Lepisosteus oculatus: one gene and its partner. The protein of the gene in region 1 interacts with the protein of each later gene in a pairwise test. Links are inferred from orthologs where the notes say so. Each region holds a gene or a part of one and is shown on either strand. Other genes may lie near its edges.

Evidence for each region.
Region 2: the proteins of N-acyl-aromatic-L-amino acid amidohydrolase (carboxylate-forming) A-like (region 1) and pmm2 interact in binary tests that used the Homo sapiens proteins (3 or more experiments, as listed by UniProt). The two-hybrid records come from large-scale screens. The link is inferred for Lepisosteus oculatus from reciprocal best matches to the Homo sapiens genes ACY3 and PMM2.

Annotation. Positions count from the first base shown.
Region 1 is NC_090701.1:44,666,015-44,673,907, forward strand, and holds the start of N-acyl-aromatic-L-amino acid amidohydrolase (carboxylate-forming) A-like, read right to left. Parts: upstream 3,162-7,893; 5' UTR 2,841-3,161; intron 1,306-2,840; 5' UTR 1,241-1,305; intron 1-1,240. UniProt on the Homo sapiens protein: Plays an important role in deacetylating mercapturic acids in kidney proximal tubules. Also acts on N-acetyl-aromatic amino acids.
Region 2 is NC_090714.1:13,663,719-13,671,672, forward strand, and holds the start of pmm2 (phosphomannomutase 2), read right to left. Parts: upstream 3,050-7,954; 5' UTR 2,915-3,049; coding exon 2,840-2,914; intron 2,451-2,839; coding exon 2,339-2,450; intron 150-2,338; coding exon 73-149; intron 1-72. Other genes in the region: tmem186 (transmembrane protein 186), read left to right, coding at 3,351-3,353, 3,675-4,385; abat (4-aminobutyrate aminotransferase, mitochondrial), read right to left, coding at 7,770-7,891. UniProt on the Homo sapiens protein: Involved in the synthesis of the GDP-mannose and dolichol-phosphate-mannose required for a number of critical mannosyl transfer reactions.

The DNA of each region.
Region 1 (7,893 bases):
TAATTGATCCATTTCCCACAACCTGCAAATGAAATTCCAAAGGACGTACAGTACCACCCCCAAATAATCCAGCTGCCGCAGAAATTGGAACAAATATTGTGACTCTAGATAGATAGATACTTCGTTAATCCCATGAGAGAAATAGCAGTGCAACAGCAGCCTGAGACAGTCAACACAGCACAGTGTAACAAAATGATACAATAATACACAATACAATACAGTAAGTACAGTCAGTGAGAAGTGCAGTAAAAAGGAAAAAAAATGGAGTATACAGAATTGTTCACAGTACAGAAGATACAAAACGAACCAGAAAGTACAGTACACAAAAAGATGTATTGCACATTATCAATATATTGCACAAAAATCAGTTAGAAGTATTACTTCTAATAGTCTCATAGAGTAATCTTAATAACATTGCACAGAGCTACGTCATATTTGACATGAATGACTGAATTCCAAAAACACAAAATATTCAAGTCATGAACAAGAGGAGGGTATTCTGCTCATTTGATAGTTAAGAGTTAATCTGGGGATCTCATCCAGCTGTTTCTTGAAAGAAGCCAGGGTATCGGCATCAACAACATGGTGGGGCTGCTTGTTCCACACCCCCACCACCTGTTGTGTAAAGAAGTGCCTCCTACTATCAGTTAGTTTTTTTTTTTAAGGTTTCTGAATCCTTTTATTAGATCTCCTCGAGACCACTCTGTTCAAGACAAAAGAGATTCAGTTCTTCCAGCCTGTCAGTGCACACACAAAGCCAGAGTCTGTGCTTCAAAGTGTTCAGTACATGTAGAAAAGGGTGGTGATCTTAACACACACTTTAACCAAGACATACATCAGGAGACGGAGTCTGCAGACCCAGAGGAAGACTGGGGAGTTCAGAGTGATTGCGTGTGAATTTAGCTAAAAGAGCTCGGCGATCCAGGAGGATCATGGACTCATGGGTACCCGTCAGCTGGCCTGGGGGAGTCTTGCTGGGGAAGGGGAAGTCTGGTCTACTCAGCAGTAAGCAGTTTGATACAGAAATTAGATGAGCTGCTGTCACACTGGCCTCTAGCACAGAACCGTACCAAAATCAAACTGAAAGGCAAAACAGTTCTAAACCCTGAACAAATGAATCTGGATCACATTTTTGTGCATGTTCTCTGTGCATGTTGCCCAAAGAAGAGAACAGAAGTCAAACACTAAATGAAGTGAAGAGGAGTCTCTCTCTCTCTGCCGTGGGCGCTGAGAGTCTTACCTTTCACACTGGCCGTGGGGAGATCTCTTCTCCCTCTGCTGCTCTCTCAGTCCTCCTGCACGTACCTGTGCGCAGAGCAGACAGGGTTGTGCCAACAAGCATAACTCACTAATCCAGGAGCCCCTGTGCCAGAATGCCCAGTGGACTTTGGCCTTGACTGTCTGGGGGCAATAGGGCATCGTCTGTCACGCCTGCAGACGTGCTGAGCAGGACAGTGGCTGTTAAATTCGAACACCTCACACTCTATTAGAATTGGGACGCTATTTAGAAGGGCTTGTTTTGCAAAAGGTCAGCGAGCTGGGCAATAGTTCACCTGCAGCACACAGAACAGAAGGAGATGAGGAGAGGGAGAGAATATGTGCAGCCCTGGCTCTGGCAGAGTGAGCTGGACTTGTGACTAGCCTCATTCGAGAAGCACAACACCCAAAAGACAAGTCTTGCATTTGAAACAAGCACCTGTTTCTTTAGTGGCCATCAACGTCCGGCTCAGCAAAACCAGCTGAAAGGACGACAAAGCCACTCTAGCAACAGCAAGGGTCTGAAGTGAGAGACACCACACAAGGGAGAACAACACCACACACTCGATCTGTCTGCTCGGAGCTCTGCAGGAGAACTAATCAACTGGCCCTGGGGGGCGGAGCACAGGCCCCTCCCCTTTATTCCACCCACAGGCCTCTTAAAGGCACATCGCTCCTTTGTAGCTCAAAGCAGGCAGGTGGAGTGGGGTTGTGGCCTCAAGTGTAGGTGGATATATTGTAGCTGTCTTAGAATACAGAAAACACAATCCTATTTTCACAGTACAGAGGACAGAGCACCGACACAGCTCCGGGCACACTGTGGGGTACAGAGCACTGACACAGCTCTGATGACTGTGGAGCCCCGAACACTGACACAGCTCCGGGCACACTGTGGGGTACAAAGCACTGACACAGCTCTGATGACTGTGGAGCACAGGGCACTGACACAGCTCTGATGACTGTGGAGCACAGGGCACTGACAGCATTGGGCACACTGTGGAGCACAGAGCACTGACACAACTCTGGGCACACTGTGGAGCACAAGGCACTGACATAGCTCTGATGACTGTGGAGCACAAGGCACTGACACGGCTCTGGGCACACTTTGGGGCACAGAGCACTGACAGCTTTAGGCACACTGTGGAGCCCCAAACACCGACACAGCTCCGGGCACACTGTGGGGTACAAAGCACTGACACAGCTCTGATGACTGTGGAGCACAGGGCACTGACACAGCTCTGGGCACACTGTGGAGCACAGAGCACTGACACAGCTCTGATGACTGTGGAGCACAAGGCACTGACACGGCTCTGGGCACACTGTAGGGCACAGAGCACTGACACAGCTCTGATCACTGTGGAGCACAGGGCACTGACACGGCTCTGGGCACACTGTGGGGCACAGAGCACTGACAGCTTTGGGCACACTGTGGAGCACAGGGCCTAGAAAGTGTTTCATACGCCTCAGAGCTGAACAGAGCAATGAGGAGAGAGCAGACATCATCTCAGTGTTCAGTGCGGAGCAGGAGCAGAGGACAGAGATCGGGGCGGGGGGGTGGGGGCTGAGTTTGGAACTGATCTTACCTTCCTCCTTGGCTCACAGCAGCGATATCAGTCCCGCCCTGTCTTCTCCTCTCCTCCCTCTCAGCCTCTCTCCTCTGTCTCTGTGGTGCTGTGGTGTGCAAAGAGTTTGTGTGCCACTCCCTTCAGCTTGCAGGGGGGGAGTCCTTCACTAGCAAGTCCTGAGTGCCACACCCTGTGTTACAAAACACCACAGTCACGAGGTCTCACTCACACACACCTGATCTCTCGCCAGCTGCGGGGGCAGCTGTATGTCAGGTCTCAGCACGCTGTCACTCTCCTCCTCAGGCAGAATGGCTGTGCGCATTGCTCTTTTACTCCTCCCCCTCCTTCCTCCTGCACTACTGTACTGCTCACTCAGCACTTCTCTCTACTGTCGGCTCTCTGTGTCTGGACTGTATTAACCTCTCTCTCTCTCTCTCAGCAGTGTTAATGTACTGGAGTGTCCAGTCAGTGTGTCTGTACTGTATTAACCCCTCTCTCTCAGTGCAGTGTTAATGTACTGGAGTGTCCAGTCAGTGTGTCTGGACTGTATTAACCCCTCTCTCTCAGTGCAGTGTTAATGTCCTGGAGTGTCCAGTCAGTGTGTCTGTACTGTATTAACCCCTCTCTCAGTGCAGTGTTAATGTACTGTAGTTGTGATGGTTAAAGCCTCTTCCTTCACTGCAGAAAGGTGGGACACACCTGCCTTGATTGACTGACTGGAATTTCACAGGCTGAAAAGGGTTCAGCTGATTGGCCGTGTGTTTAATTGGACATTCCAGTTCCAGGAGTAGCAGCTGTCAGTATATCAGCAGGCAGGTGCAGAGTGCAGGGAGCTGTCTCTCAGTTCTTGCAGCTCATGGTGAGAGGAAGGTAGGCTGTGTTTTAGGAACAAGGGGATGGCTACTACCAGAATTATGTCCTTGGTTGCTTCTCCTCTCCCCTGTGTAAGCATCACTGTGTAACTCTCCCTCCTGCTGTGCCTGGAGACTACTGCATAGGGTCCCAAATGTCCAACTCCTCGTGTGTGTGTGTATGTGTATCAAGAAAAGTGTTACAGGAGAGTTATGGATCAAAGTGTCAGATATGTACTGTTTAGTTACTCTGCTGAGGGGAGCTGGGTTTGATATTAATTTTATGTCTGCAAGGTTGTAAGGAGGGTTTTTGGGTGAGGATAGAAGGGAAGAAGGATGAGGGTTTGATCAGTTTGAATGGGAGAAACTGACTGATCTTTCTGCTTGTATGTTAAATGGATCAGTGATGGAGGAGGGTATTGCTACATGCTTGTCTTGGCTTTGTCTAATTAAGGTGATCTGGTGAGAGTCTTGGAGGAGGATGATGATGATGGCATTTTGACCTGTGCTTGGAGAATACCAGTTTCATTTTGTGAAGATGGAAGTTATGTATTTTTAAGTGCATTCCTGCATTGACTGTGGGCTGAGAATGGAGGTTTGGTGTTCTGTCAAGGACGCAAGTTTGTGGAAGCCTACACAAAAGGTATTTGGGGAAAATGTAGGGGAAATCAGACCTGTACGCAGAATGTAAGGAAATGTCACTTCCACCCAGAGTGTAATCATTTGCAAAATTGTTTAGGAGTAATAGTTACTTACAATGTGTTTAACTTACTTAATGTTCATTGTGCTCCTGTGTTTTATCGGCTGGCAGCCCTAGGTTCAGTTCTAGTCTTGAAGTTAGAGACCAGGAAGCCTTGGAAGGATTTGATGAGTGGCTTTAGTAAAGAAAGATGCCTCCACAGACCGTACAGAAACCAATGGTAGAGTGTGTCCTGTATTCCTGGATTACCTGGAATTCAACAGAGTGACAGACTGGTGTTTTATAATGGGGAAAAGTGGGTGCCAGTGAGTGAAGCCCCCCGTCTCGCCCAAGACCTACTGATTCGTGTGTTCCTCCCAGTGTAGGAAAGGGTGGGTCTGACTGGGTGTCCCACTGTGCAAGTGGGAATAAGACGGATTTCTTCCTGGTAAAGGAACACTAGCCATGGTGAGTGTGCCAGGGAAGGAGAGGAAAGAGGTGTATTTTGCACAGAAGAAAAAGCGAATTTGGGAGTTTGTAAGGAATACGTCTCTTCCAGCTCTCGCAGTGGAATAGGGGACCTAAGAGTTCTTCCATGTGAGAAGAGGGAAATGAAGGTCTTTGAAGGACTTCTTTTGGAACTGGGCAGGCTTCTCTGAAAGGTACTAGTGGTCCCTTCTTAAGAGCCCTGGTGGGCTTTGCAATCAACCAGTGACAGATGAGCAGAATGTGCACTTCTATTTGGGTGAAGTGCTGACTCTGGGTTTCATGTAGGGGTTGGTGTTTTTCACAGTAGTGTCCAGTCTAAGGCTGAAACTGTTGATTTAAATGTTTCTGCCTAATTTGGAGTCATTTGGGTGGCTCTCAAAACGTGGGTGACTTAGGCAGGGTTTTTGGGACGTGTTCTAGGGAGCCTGAGGTAGGGTTAGGGTTTCAACACCACTGAGACATTTTTCGACACATTTGCTGCTCTTTAGGATGCGTTTGAAATGCAGGAGAAGCATTTGTTTCCTCAAGAACAAAATCTGGCTCAATTTTCCAGTTTTGTGGCTAAGCCGCTCGCCTGCCAAAAAATCAAAAATCAAAAGTTTGAAAAGGCAATGTATACATGCTAAAATAGTGTCCGATCAGACACCATGTCTTTGTTAACCTCTCTTAATGCTGTGTTAATATACTGTAGTGTCTAGTCATTCTAGGCTCCTAAAAGACTATTTCTCATTGTCTGGATCGGATTAGTTTCATTGTGGTTCTAACCTGAATATGTCTGTACTTCAGGACTGTCTTCTCATTTATAGATCTGAGAATCATTTCTAACTATATGTGTGGCAATCCCACTGATGGTAAGACCAGCAGCGGATCTTAAGCTGTCAGCTGGAACAGCGATGTGGATGAGGGCGAGGGGGACTGAGCAGGACAGGCAGGGAGGATTCTGAAGCCTGACAGGGACTCGGGGAACCAGTGGTGCAGGCAGACAGGCTGTGGACCGACTGATACTGGATACAAGTGAAGTAAAACTTGTACTTCAGATCAAAAGATGAACACTGTCACTTGTCCTTGTCAACAAAAACAGACTAAAAATGGTTCTCTATCCAGAATGAAGTTGGTCGATCGCTTGACCCAAATCCAGCATTCGTTTGCAAATTCCTACATTTAAAAAAAAATGCACTGCACTTTTTGGAGTTCCCCAAGATGGCAACCTATTGCCCAAATCTCTTCCTCCCCCCCATCTATGCCTGAGCCACTGATGAGCCTGCAGAATGATATTTGGGTTTTTGAGACATTTCTCAGTTGCTCTCCCTCTGCTGTGGCAATAAGAGAGGCTCTGCCCTCTTCCTGAAGAGCAGATGTTATTGGCTATGGGAATTCTCTAATTCCTTGCTTATCAAAGTCGCCCAAATCACTGTCTTGTGCCACTAGGTTAGGTGACTTAGGAAGGTGGGTTACTGTACATTGCCTTCTGGGGAATGTGGTTCAGACCAGAACCTCCCGCACTCTTGAATCGCCTTAAAACAAAGTGTTTATTAATGATCCCATCATTGGATTGTGGTGTGAATATATTTGCAAGGCACTGTAACCTTGAACAGTTAAAATGCAACGATGACAAAAACTGACCTTTTTATTAAAGAATTTTAACTTGATCAATGACCGAATTAATTCAACAATACTATTTCAAGACAAGACAGCAGTAATAATTAAGTCCGCAAATTCGTTATGGAACATAAGAGTTCCAAAGCAATAAAAGTGCATGGACAGAAGTTTATTGCAAACTAAAATTCTCTGCTCTGGTTTTGAAAATGTCCTGAAGCTTGTACAGGTGCAATTTAGGTGTTCTGGAGCTCATCAGCCAGATAAGTTAATGGTTTAATCTACACAACTAATATGAAACTGCCTGAATTGGCCGAGCAAGTTACATTTCTGTAAAAGATGAATCCATACAATTAAGCTTAAAAGCAAGTCCCTTCACATTAAAAGAGAATAATTAGTTTAGCCAATTATTTGATCACCCCAACCCCACCTCTTAAACACAACAGAGTTTAAACCATGGTCTGTAGTGTTCATAATGCAGACGTTTACATCAGTAGTTCTTGAAGCACAGATGTTCTGCAGGGTCGAGAGAGATACGGACGATGGACGATGGACACTCCGGTACATTAACGCTACTCTTGACCGAGGTGTGTGCTGTCATTAGTTTTGTCTGTGTGAGACAGAGAGAGAAAGGAGTGAAAATCTTGGATGTATGGTCTTACATTTTAGTACATCTGTACATTCCTATCTGGGATAGTGGGTGGGACACCCTACAGATACAGAGCAGTTCACATGGTCTGTGATTCAGCACTGTGAAACGATCAGAGATAATCAACAATCCTGTTACTCTTATCCATCTGTGTGAAAGAACGAGCTGTTCCAGGTCAATTTTAAGCACTTGAATGAAACCTGTCACCACAGAAAGAAACTTCCTCTTTCATGTCAGAAGCACCAGTCCAGACCTGTGGTCCAGCTTTCTGGTTCCAATCCAGACTGTGCCACCAGCACAGCAGCACCATGATTCCCACAACTGGTAAAGTTGGGTCACATTTGAGATGAGGCTGTTTCATCCATCTGGCAGGTTTTGACATCAGTAATTAATTGATCTCATACATTAATTGAAGGAAACCAGGGATTCGACTTTAACAAGGCTGTGCAGCTTGTTCCACACTCAGTTTTAAACACATTTTCCTGTAGTTTCCAGCTGAAGACCTTGTTTGTTTCACTATTAATTCAGAAGAAATCTCATGGGTTGATTTTGTCAGGGCCCTTGAGGATTTTGATTGTATCAAATCCCCTTCTAGACCCTTCTGTTCATGACTAAAGAGATTCAGTTCCTTCAGCTTGTCAGTGTCAGCTATTCCCTCAAGCCCTGGAATGATTCCTGATCTCCAATATCTTGTCTACAGTGAAGTGACCACAACTGTATACAATATTCTAAACGTATTCTTAAAAGTGTGTTAGACCACTTTTACATAACTCTTTATTTAAATACTCTAAGCTGTTAACTACATAT
Region 2 (7,954 bases), on another chromosome or scaffold:
TGCTCTATAGCTGGTATTAGCAGTTCAGCGGTGTCAGTTTGTGTTTTAAGGTTGTCAGGAGATGATCCCTACCTGAACAGACAACAGTTTTCCATCTCTGTAGGCAACTAATCCATTCTCAGCAAACACATAATCCACCTTTTCCACCACTGCCAACAAAAAAAGGTTCAGTGATAAAGAACAGCAATGAACAGCTCTCCTTCTGCACAGCTCTGTGGAAAGTATTGGGTTTTCTAGCCCAACATCTCTGACACAACAGCTTCTCTGGGAGATTTGCACTGGTTGTTGCAGAGACACTGGGCTGTGAAGAAGAGGCAGAGTGGGCTTTCTGTACTCGACTAGACAAGATGAAATATCAAAATAAGCAAACTGAAGGAGAACTCCTTGTACCATTAGGTGCCTGCTCTTCACTTTTGATAAGGCACTGGGCACAGAGATACAGACTCTGTGACAGCCCCCTGCTCATTAAACTGAACAGAGCTGTACAGGCAGAAGGCTTTGCTTTGATGCTGTGGCCTCCAGGGTGCTGTGCACAATTCCCATCTTCTCATCTCGCCCATTAGCACACCCCTGCCGTGTTCACTGAGTCCTTTCTCATAACGATTTCTCAGCTGAATCCAACACAGGGCAGAGTCAGATGAGCAGGAATTAAATATTACAAATTCATTTGTCTGATGCTTTCAGTCAAAGCAACTTTCACTTGTACCCAATTATACAGCTGGGTAGTTTACTAATTTGATTGCAGGCCCACCAAATCTCACTAGCCATTCTGTGGCAAAGGACAATACTTCTTAATTAGCCAAAACAAGTAAATGTTATAAAATGAACAAAGGTGATCTGAATCTTCTTTGGATAGTGAATATTGATGTTTCATGGAAAACGTGGTCTCGATTTATGTGCTTCTGAAGAGCAGACATTGATGAGAGTATTTTATAGTGTCACTTTGTGCTTTCTTTAAACTCCTTCATCTCCTTCACTTTGAACAAACGTTAGTCAACCTGTCAGGGCAATATACGTTTTATAAGGAACACTCAGCTACGATTATTAATAGCGCTGGCATATTTTGCGGGGCTATTCTTGACGTTTTTGATGTTTACCTGCCCATGAACACGCTGTGCAAACCACAATCGTCTCGTATTTTATTGAACAAAAAACTGGGCCCAAAATGAATCCTATTCTCTTAATACGGAAATGCAGATTTTATAATTGAACGCCTATACATGGTGGTAGGAAAACAGGAACAAACAGGTGAACTGTAATGAACCTTTAAAGACGTCAAGGTTCAATCTCCTGCAATCCGGTTTGCGCACAGCGGACACACCCACGTCACGCCCATCACAGGCAGCCCTCTGATTGGCTGAGATACACGGTGAGCCTCTCAAATTAACATTTAATTGTTGTTCTGAACGTTTGAAAATGTCATTACTTTGGTCAAATTATAGTCCACTGGTAATGCCAATAGATCTCTTTAAATGGAAATTTAATAGCTCTGCACGGAAACGCTTACAACCACTCAATCGTTTGGAGTAACAGTGCGTGTAAAAACGTGGTAATGTCTAACTAGATGAATTACACGTAGTTTATTTTCATATTACTCATTAAGAAACGTGATTTAAGCGGTGTTAGTTTAATTCGCCGCTTTTCAATCCCGAAATGTATGACGTTGTCTGGACTGTCAAAAAACCCATCAGCTCATTTTAAATTGCGGTTTATAATTATCTGTGCAAAGTGAACAGACTGGAGATCGTATATAATCATATGCACAGAATTTCTTACATTTACCTTTTTTTCTCCTCCTTGTATACACTACTTTAGTTACTAATACTATACTAATACTTTAGTTATTAATGCTATATCCTACAAATACTGCAGCTACACTGATCATTATCTCAGGCTTTCAGTCTTGACCAGCACCTGAGAGCCTTCCTGCAGAGAGGTAATTGTACTAAAAACCCCTCCACTCAAAAATCTTCAGATCAAATAGGCATAAATTACAATACCTTAGATTTACAAGGCTTTGTTCCCAGTGTAGGTTCAAATGTGAAATACAATATCTTTACAACAAAGGATGCATTTAGCAGCAGGTATGGTTGCTTGTACCTTCCTACAAATATCATGCATTTGTACAGATTCTGGAGCTGCTAAATGTAATACTTTATAATTATTAAAGAAAAAACAGCATTAATAGCCTGGATTGGCTTCAGATAGTTAACCTAGATCACAACAAAGTCATTGTATTGCTTTTGCCTCAGGGTGGGCAAATTACCATCACTCATCTTCCAACTGACTTGCAATATGATTAATCAATCAATATGATTAATGGCTTGTCAATACTCACCATCTGCTCCGAGCTGCTCTTTGATCTTTTCAAAATCAGATCCCCCAACTACTCCAACTCGCACCCTCTTTCTCAGCCTCTGAAGAAACTCATCCATGTCAGGGGTGACTTTCTGTGGAGGGGAAAGTTTCATAAGAATTTAAGAACGAAAAACCCTATTTTTAACTATTGATTACTGTTGATTGTTCAAAGAACTCTAAGTCAGTTTGCTTTTCCCTTTTCTTTCTGTGTTGTCTAAATATGTTCGTAAAAGCTAGCCAGAAACTAAAATCAACGGTGCCACTTCGACATCAGAGTGACTGGCTTGGAAAGATCAGAATGGAAACACGTCTTTATTTTTGCTGATTTAAACGTTCTCGTCATCCTCATTAATCCGCGCCTTCTGAAACTGAATACCCCAGCATCCCGCGACGACCCCTTCACATTTTCAGGATCATCTTTAGCTTCTCCAAAGAAGAACGAGCATTTCAGGAAAACCAGCTCGAAATATTTACAACTCACCTGTCTTGCTGCAGTTAGAGTCCCATCGACATCGAACAAGCAGAGGGTTGTCGTATCCTTCCCAGATGGTGCCATTTTCTTAACTGTCTGACTGCTTGTTTCAAATAATGAAAAGATAGTCTTGATTGTGATTAACGTGAAAATAAAGTCAAATATCACAGTCACACTAGACCTCTTCCACCAGGAAAAGATTACGTGTCACTCTGGGACATGTAGTACAGTTTCGGTTCACCATCGGCGGAAATGAGCTAGCGAGTCCGGATGTGGACTACAAAGACATTATTTTAGAGATGGTTGAAGTAACCGAACTCTAGAAAAACAATGTATGTCCGTTTTGCGGTTAATAGTAAGCAGTATCATATACACGATTTTGTTTGATTCAATAACGTTCTTAAAAAAATAAGGATCAGGGGGAATTCGATGAATTCGGTACTCTGTCGAAGAAGGCTTTGTTTCCCCCCGGAGCGTTTATGATGTCATCCCTCTTGGCTTGCAACTTCGGTCTGCTGTGATGGTAATTGACTTTGCACCATCGTTCCTTTTAATATCTGAAGCAATTACGTTTAGGATGATGCATTGTTTAGCAAATACTTTTATTATGCTCAGGAGGGTTGCTCTGATATGTGTGAAGAGACGTTTGTGATTGTGACACGTTTATTACAGCCCAGTCGAATAGAATACTGTTAGCTAGTTCACCTGTTTTGTGGTATTTGACATGTTAATCTTGGTCTGTGTCTTAACCTTCATGCTTGGGTTTATTCATTATTAACAATAAATTAGTCAAGTACACGAGTCTATAATAAGCAAACTTTTCCCCCGCTTATCTCCTTTAAAGTACAGATCAATACTGTCTCTGCGAACCGTTCGTGCTTCGCCGTGTGTGTGGCCCGGCGCTTCTGCTTCAGCGCATCGTGAGAGATGTCTGGTCGGTGGCCGTTCCTTCACCCCTCACCAGCACGAACGCCGTCCCCTCGCTTCGATGCAGGAACGCACAGTATGGACCACACTTAGGGTGCACAGCCAGCTGCTAACTGGAGCCCACCAAGACCGCTCCAATGAAAACCGCTCCAATGAGAAATTCTCCCTGATCTACAGGCTTCCAGCCATCAGGGTCCTCAGGGCAGTGTCCCGACTCAAGCTGCTCCAGACTGGGATCACCGTGGTTACGCTGCCTCCTGTATACTACCTGTTCTCGCAGGGACTGTGCTCCGGCACCCTCGTCAGCTACGCCACAGGCGTTGCTGTCTTTGCCACCGTGATGCTGTTCTCTTTGAGCCACTACCTCCGGCACATCATCGGGATGATGTACATTAACAACTCTAAAACCGTCCTGAAGGTATCCCACCTGACCTTCTGGGGTCAAAGACGGGATCAGTATGTCCCGGTGGCGGATATCATGACCCTCGGGGATACGGGGGACCCCCACAATGAGATGTTGCTGCGGTTTAAGCGCTACAGCCACCCTGAGGTCCTGTACTTCACCATTCGCCTGGGACAGGTTGTGGACAAACGGGCATTCGTGGAAGTCTTTGGTCCTGTCCCCTGACACTCCAAAGAAAGCATTGTTTTAAAATGGTTTCCCGGTGAAAGGCGAAGGATCGGCAGAATGAAACACTTGACTTAATCTGTCGGAGGAAAACTGCCACTATCCAGTATTGCAGTGACTAGAATCGTGGATGTTTTGGCTGGGAATGCCTGTAGCGGTGCTGCTCTTTGGCATTTCCTTACGGCCCAGCTTTGCAAATCGTTCTCCGGCCGGGAGGCTGATCTGTAGCCGCCGGGTGAAGATGCCGAAAAAGAACAGGACCTATCTGGGTCGGGGGCTGGACCTCTGACACTGTTTGCATATAGTGGTGGTATGTAATATAGTGTTGAAAAAAGGCCTTCTTGTGTGCTTAATTAGATCATGAATTAAAGTATGTGTATGAATTAAAGATTAATTTAACCCAAATTGACTTACCTAGCGCTATAAATGGGTACGAATGTATTTTATGGGAGCAGCACCTTTACCCATGGCTACACCAACAATGTCTGGCTTGGGATTTGAACCCATACCCTTCCGGTTACAAGGCCGGAGCCCTGACCGCCACTCCACACTTGAAATGGGATGTGCACGAGTGCTGCGCGGAAGAGAATCCTTTTTCTTGGGTTTCCTTGGTGCGACCGCGCTGCGGCCTCTACACCTGTGTGCTGGATTCGATTGTCCAGCTTGTCTGGGTCCTCGGCTACCTTGTGGGCGTTTGCCTGGTGCTCCCGTTTACTCCCACACTCCACAGCCGTGCCGTCTGCATGAATGGGCATATCTCAGTTTATAATAATAATAATAAACTTTATTTTATATAGCGCCTTTAAAGGTGGCTTTTCATAGCACTTTACAGAATGACAACAACAATAAATAAAAAGAATACACATGATAAAACACAATTACAATATATAGAGGAGACCGTGGATGGTGGTACTAGGAAAAGCAGAGGGGTGAAGAATGGAACCAGTTCAGTAAAGGCTTTTCTGGAGAAGAGGGTTTTGAGTCTGGATTTGAAGGAGTTTAGAGAAGGAGACTCTCTGATATCCTTGGGGAGAGAGTTCCAGAGCTTGGGGGCATAACAGGAGAAGGCCCTGTCACCCATACAGTGTAGACGGGCTTGGGGGACAGTAAGGAGGGCAGAATTAGAAGAGCGAAGGTTGCGAGGTGGGAAGTAGGGCGATTATAGTTCAGACAGGTACTGAGGTGCCAAGCCATGCAGAGCCTTGTAGGCGAGCATGAGGATTTATAAGTCCACACCGAATTTGACAGGAAGCCAGTGCAAGGACTCCAGGATAGGAGTAATGTGATCATTTGCACTAGACCTGGTCAGTTTCCCTCTGTGCAGGTGCATCTTTTCCTGTCAGTCATAAAACACCTCTAATTTGGGAGCCATAGCCAGGGATATATGTGCTTTAAAATGGTAAGAAAGGTTGCAAATGAACCTCTGAACCTCCTAGCCTATATCGTAGTTAGTAGGTGTGAGCGTCTTGTCCAGCTTATCTTTGCAAGAAGTGTTTCGGAGTATCGGCTCTGACAACATGGATGGGTACACCGAAAGAAAGCACCGAACTGTCAAATAGTACTGTCATGTACATGCGACAGTCTTATTGTTAGTAGTAAATCTGTATAAAATGTGTATCCAAGGGTGAAAAAGGTCCCACTGCCCTCTTATTTTTGTGTGAATGTTAATTTCAGGCTTAGGAACAAAAGGTGCAAGGAGATATTCAAGTACACAGTTCAGCTTACCACCGGGAAAGAGTGCAGGTAGGAACAAAATCACACTTAAGTTAATCAAAATGTCTAAGATTTATTTTAGAATTCAGATATATTTTCTTTTTCCAACGAGAATGAGACCTATTTTAGTAAATTACACCAACTTTTGGCACCGCTTAGGTCACAGAACATTGTAAACAAAAATGCACTCTTATCATTTGTCTATTTTTAACAGGCAGGAATCACGAGATACAGAAGTCTCTACACAGACTGGCTTTCACATTCCACACATTCACATATGGCCAGTACATATTCTTAAAATAAAAACCAGACATTAACCACCTCTGTTCAGAAACTCGGAGTGTTCCTGCACTCTTCACCCGAGCAGGAACAATTAAGACATTGAATCAACATTAAAACAATAAAAGGAAACCACTTTAAACATTAAAATAGGTTTGATTAAAGGAGTTAATATATTTGTGCGTGTACATGACTGACAAGTGATTAGTGTGTGAAGGATGCAAAATGTTCATCATTTGTCTTACGTTTAATGTGATAACTGCTGTATGACACGATTACAAAATATTTATTAGCTTCATCTTCCATTGATCGTGGGTTTAATGCCCAAGTGGGACATTGCAAATTACTTTAGTAAAATGCCCAGCTTTATAAACAGGACTCCAAATCATTAGTGGAGATTCATTTTGAATCGTGTTCTTGGCTTCAATAAAGAATTTCTTGGTAAACAGAGGCATAAATAAAACAGAAATATGAACTAAGGGGCAACCCATTTTATAAATGTGCATGGTGGAGCTGGACTGTAAAAGGAATATTCGAGCTCTAGAGCCTGGGCATCTTTATAGTGTAATAAAAGCCTTACGGTGAAATTCGGTGATATTAGCTATTGAGTTCCTTCTTAGAATTTATCTTTGCAATTCCGAAGAAGCCAGCGTTTTGTGAATGTGTGAACACTCCCGGCTAGATTCTTTACCAGCACCTTTCCAACACTGCATGTCTTGTGCCTTTTGACAACACTTTTTTTTTTTTAAAGCCACCCACCTCTGTGAGCGTCCCCCAAGTCCTGTCAATTCAAGCCTGCACTGGAGGAGGTTCAGTAACGCCTACTTGAATTGTGCCATTTAAACCATCAGGCGTATTTTAAAAGACCCATCAGTACATTTAGGTTGGCATCCACCTAACCTCCTTCTGACGCATATCAGGTGGTAGATCATGTTTCAGAAGTGCAGAACATCTTGCCGTCACAATATGCCAGCTGCCTTCTGCCCATAGTCTCCTAAAAAGGGGGTACTGTGCCAGTAATGATGGAGTATACAGTATATTGCTTCTATTGCTCTCTGTAACATTGTTTTGAAAGAAACAATGCTGAAATGGCTAACAAAATTCCCTTGGTAAGAGGGCGATGCCCCCAAATAAACGGGTTTTCCGTACAATTAAAAACAACAAACCCTCCTTGTCCAGCCGACAATGGATTTTGAGTTTGCCGCAGCCCTTTTCGGGGCTGCTTTTGAAATCCGGTGTTTATGCGGGTGTCGTTGGGAGAAACATGTTTTCCGTGATGTGATGATTGCTTCGGGAACGGGGGGGGGGAGGGGGCCTTGTGGCGATATGTCCGAGAGCTCTCTTCCCTCGGGACGTGGACCCTGTGCGTCGCTCCGCCGAGATGCCCGGCGCCTACTTGTACTCCGCCAGGATGTCGCCGAAGATATTCAGGAAGAGGTGCGCGTGGTACTCCTTGAAGACCAGGGCCGGGCGGAAACGGATGGACCTTTCTCCACAGCCTCCCAGCACCACCCCTGGGTGGGACACGATTTTGTGAGGCGCAAGATTAGGGAGGTGCAGATTTCAGAGCCTTGCAT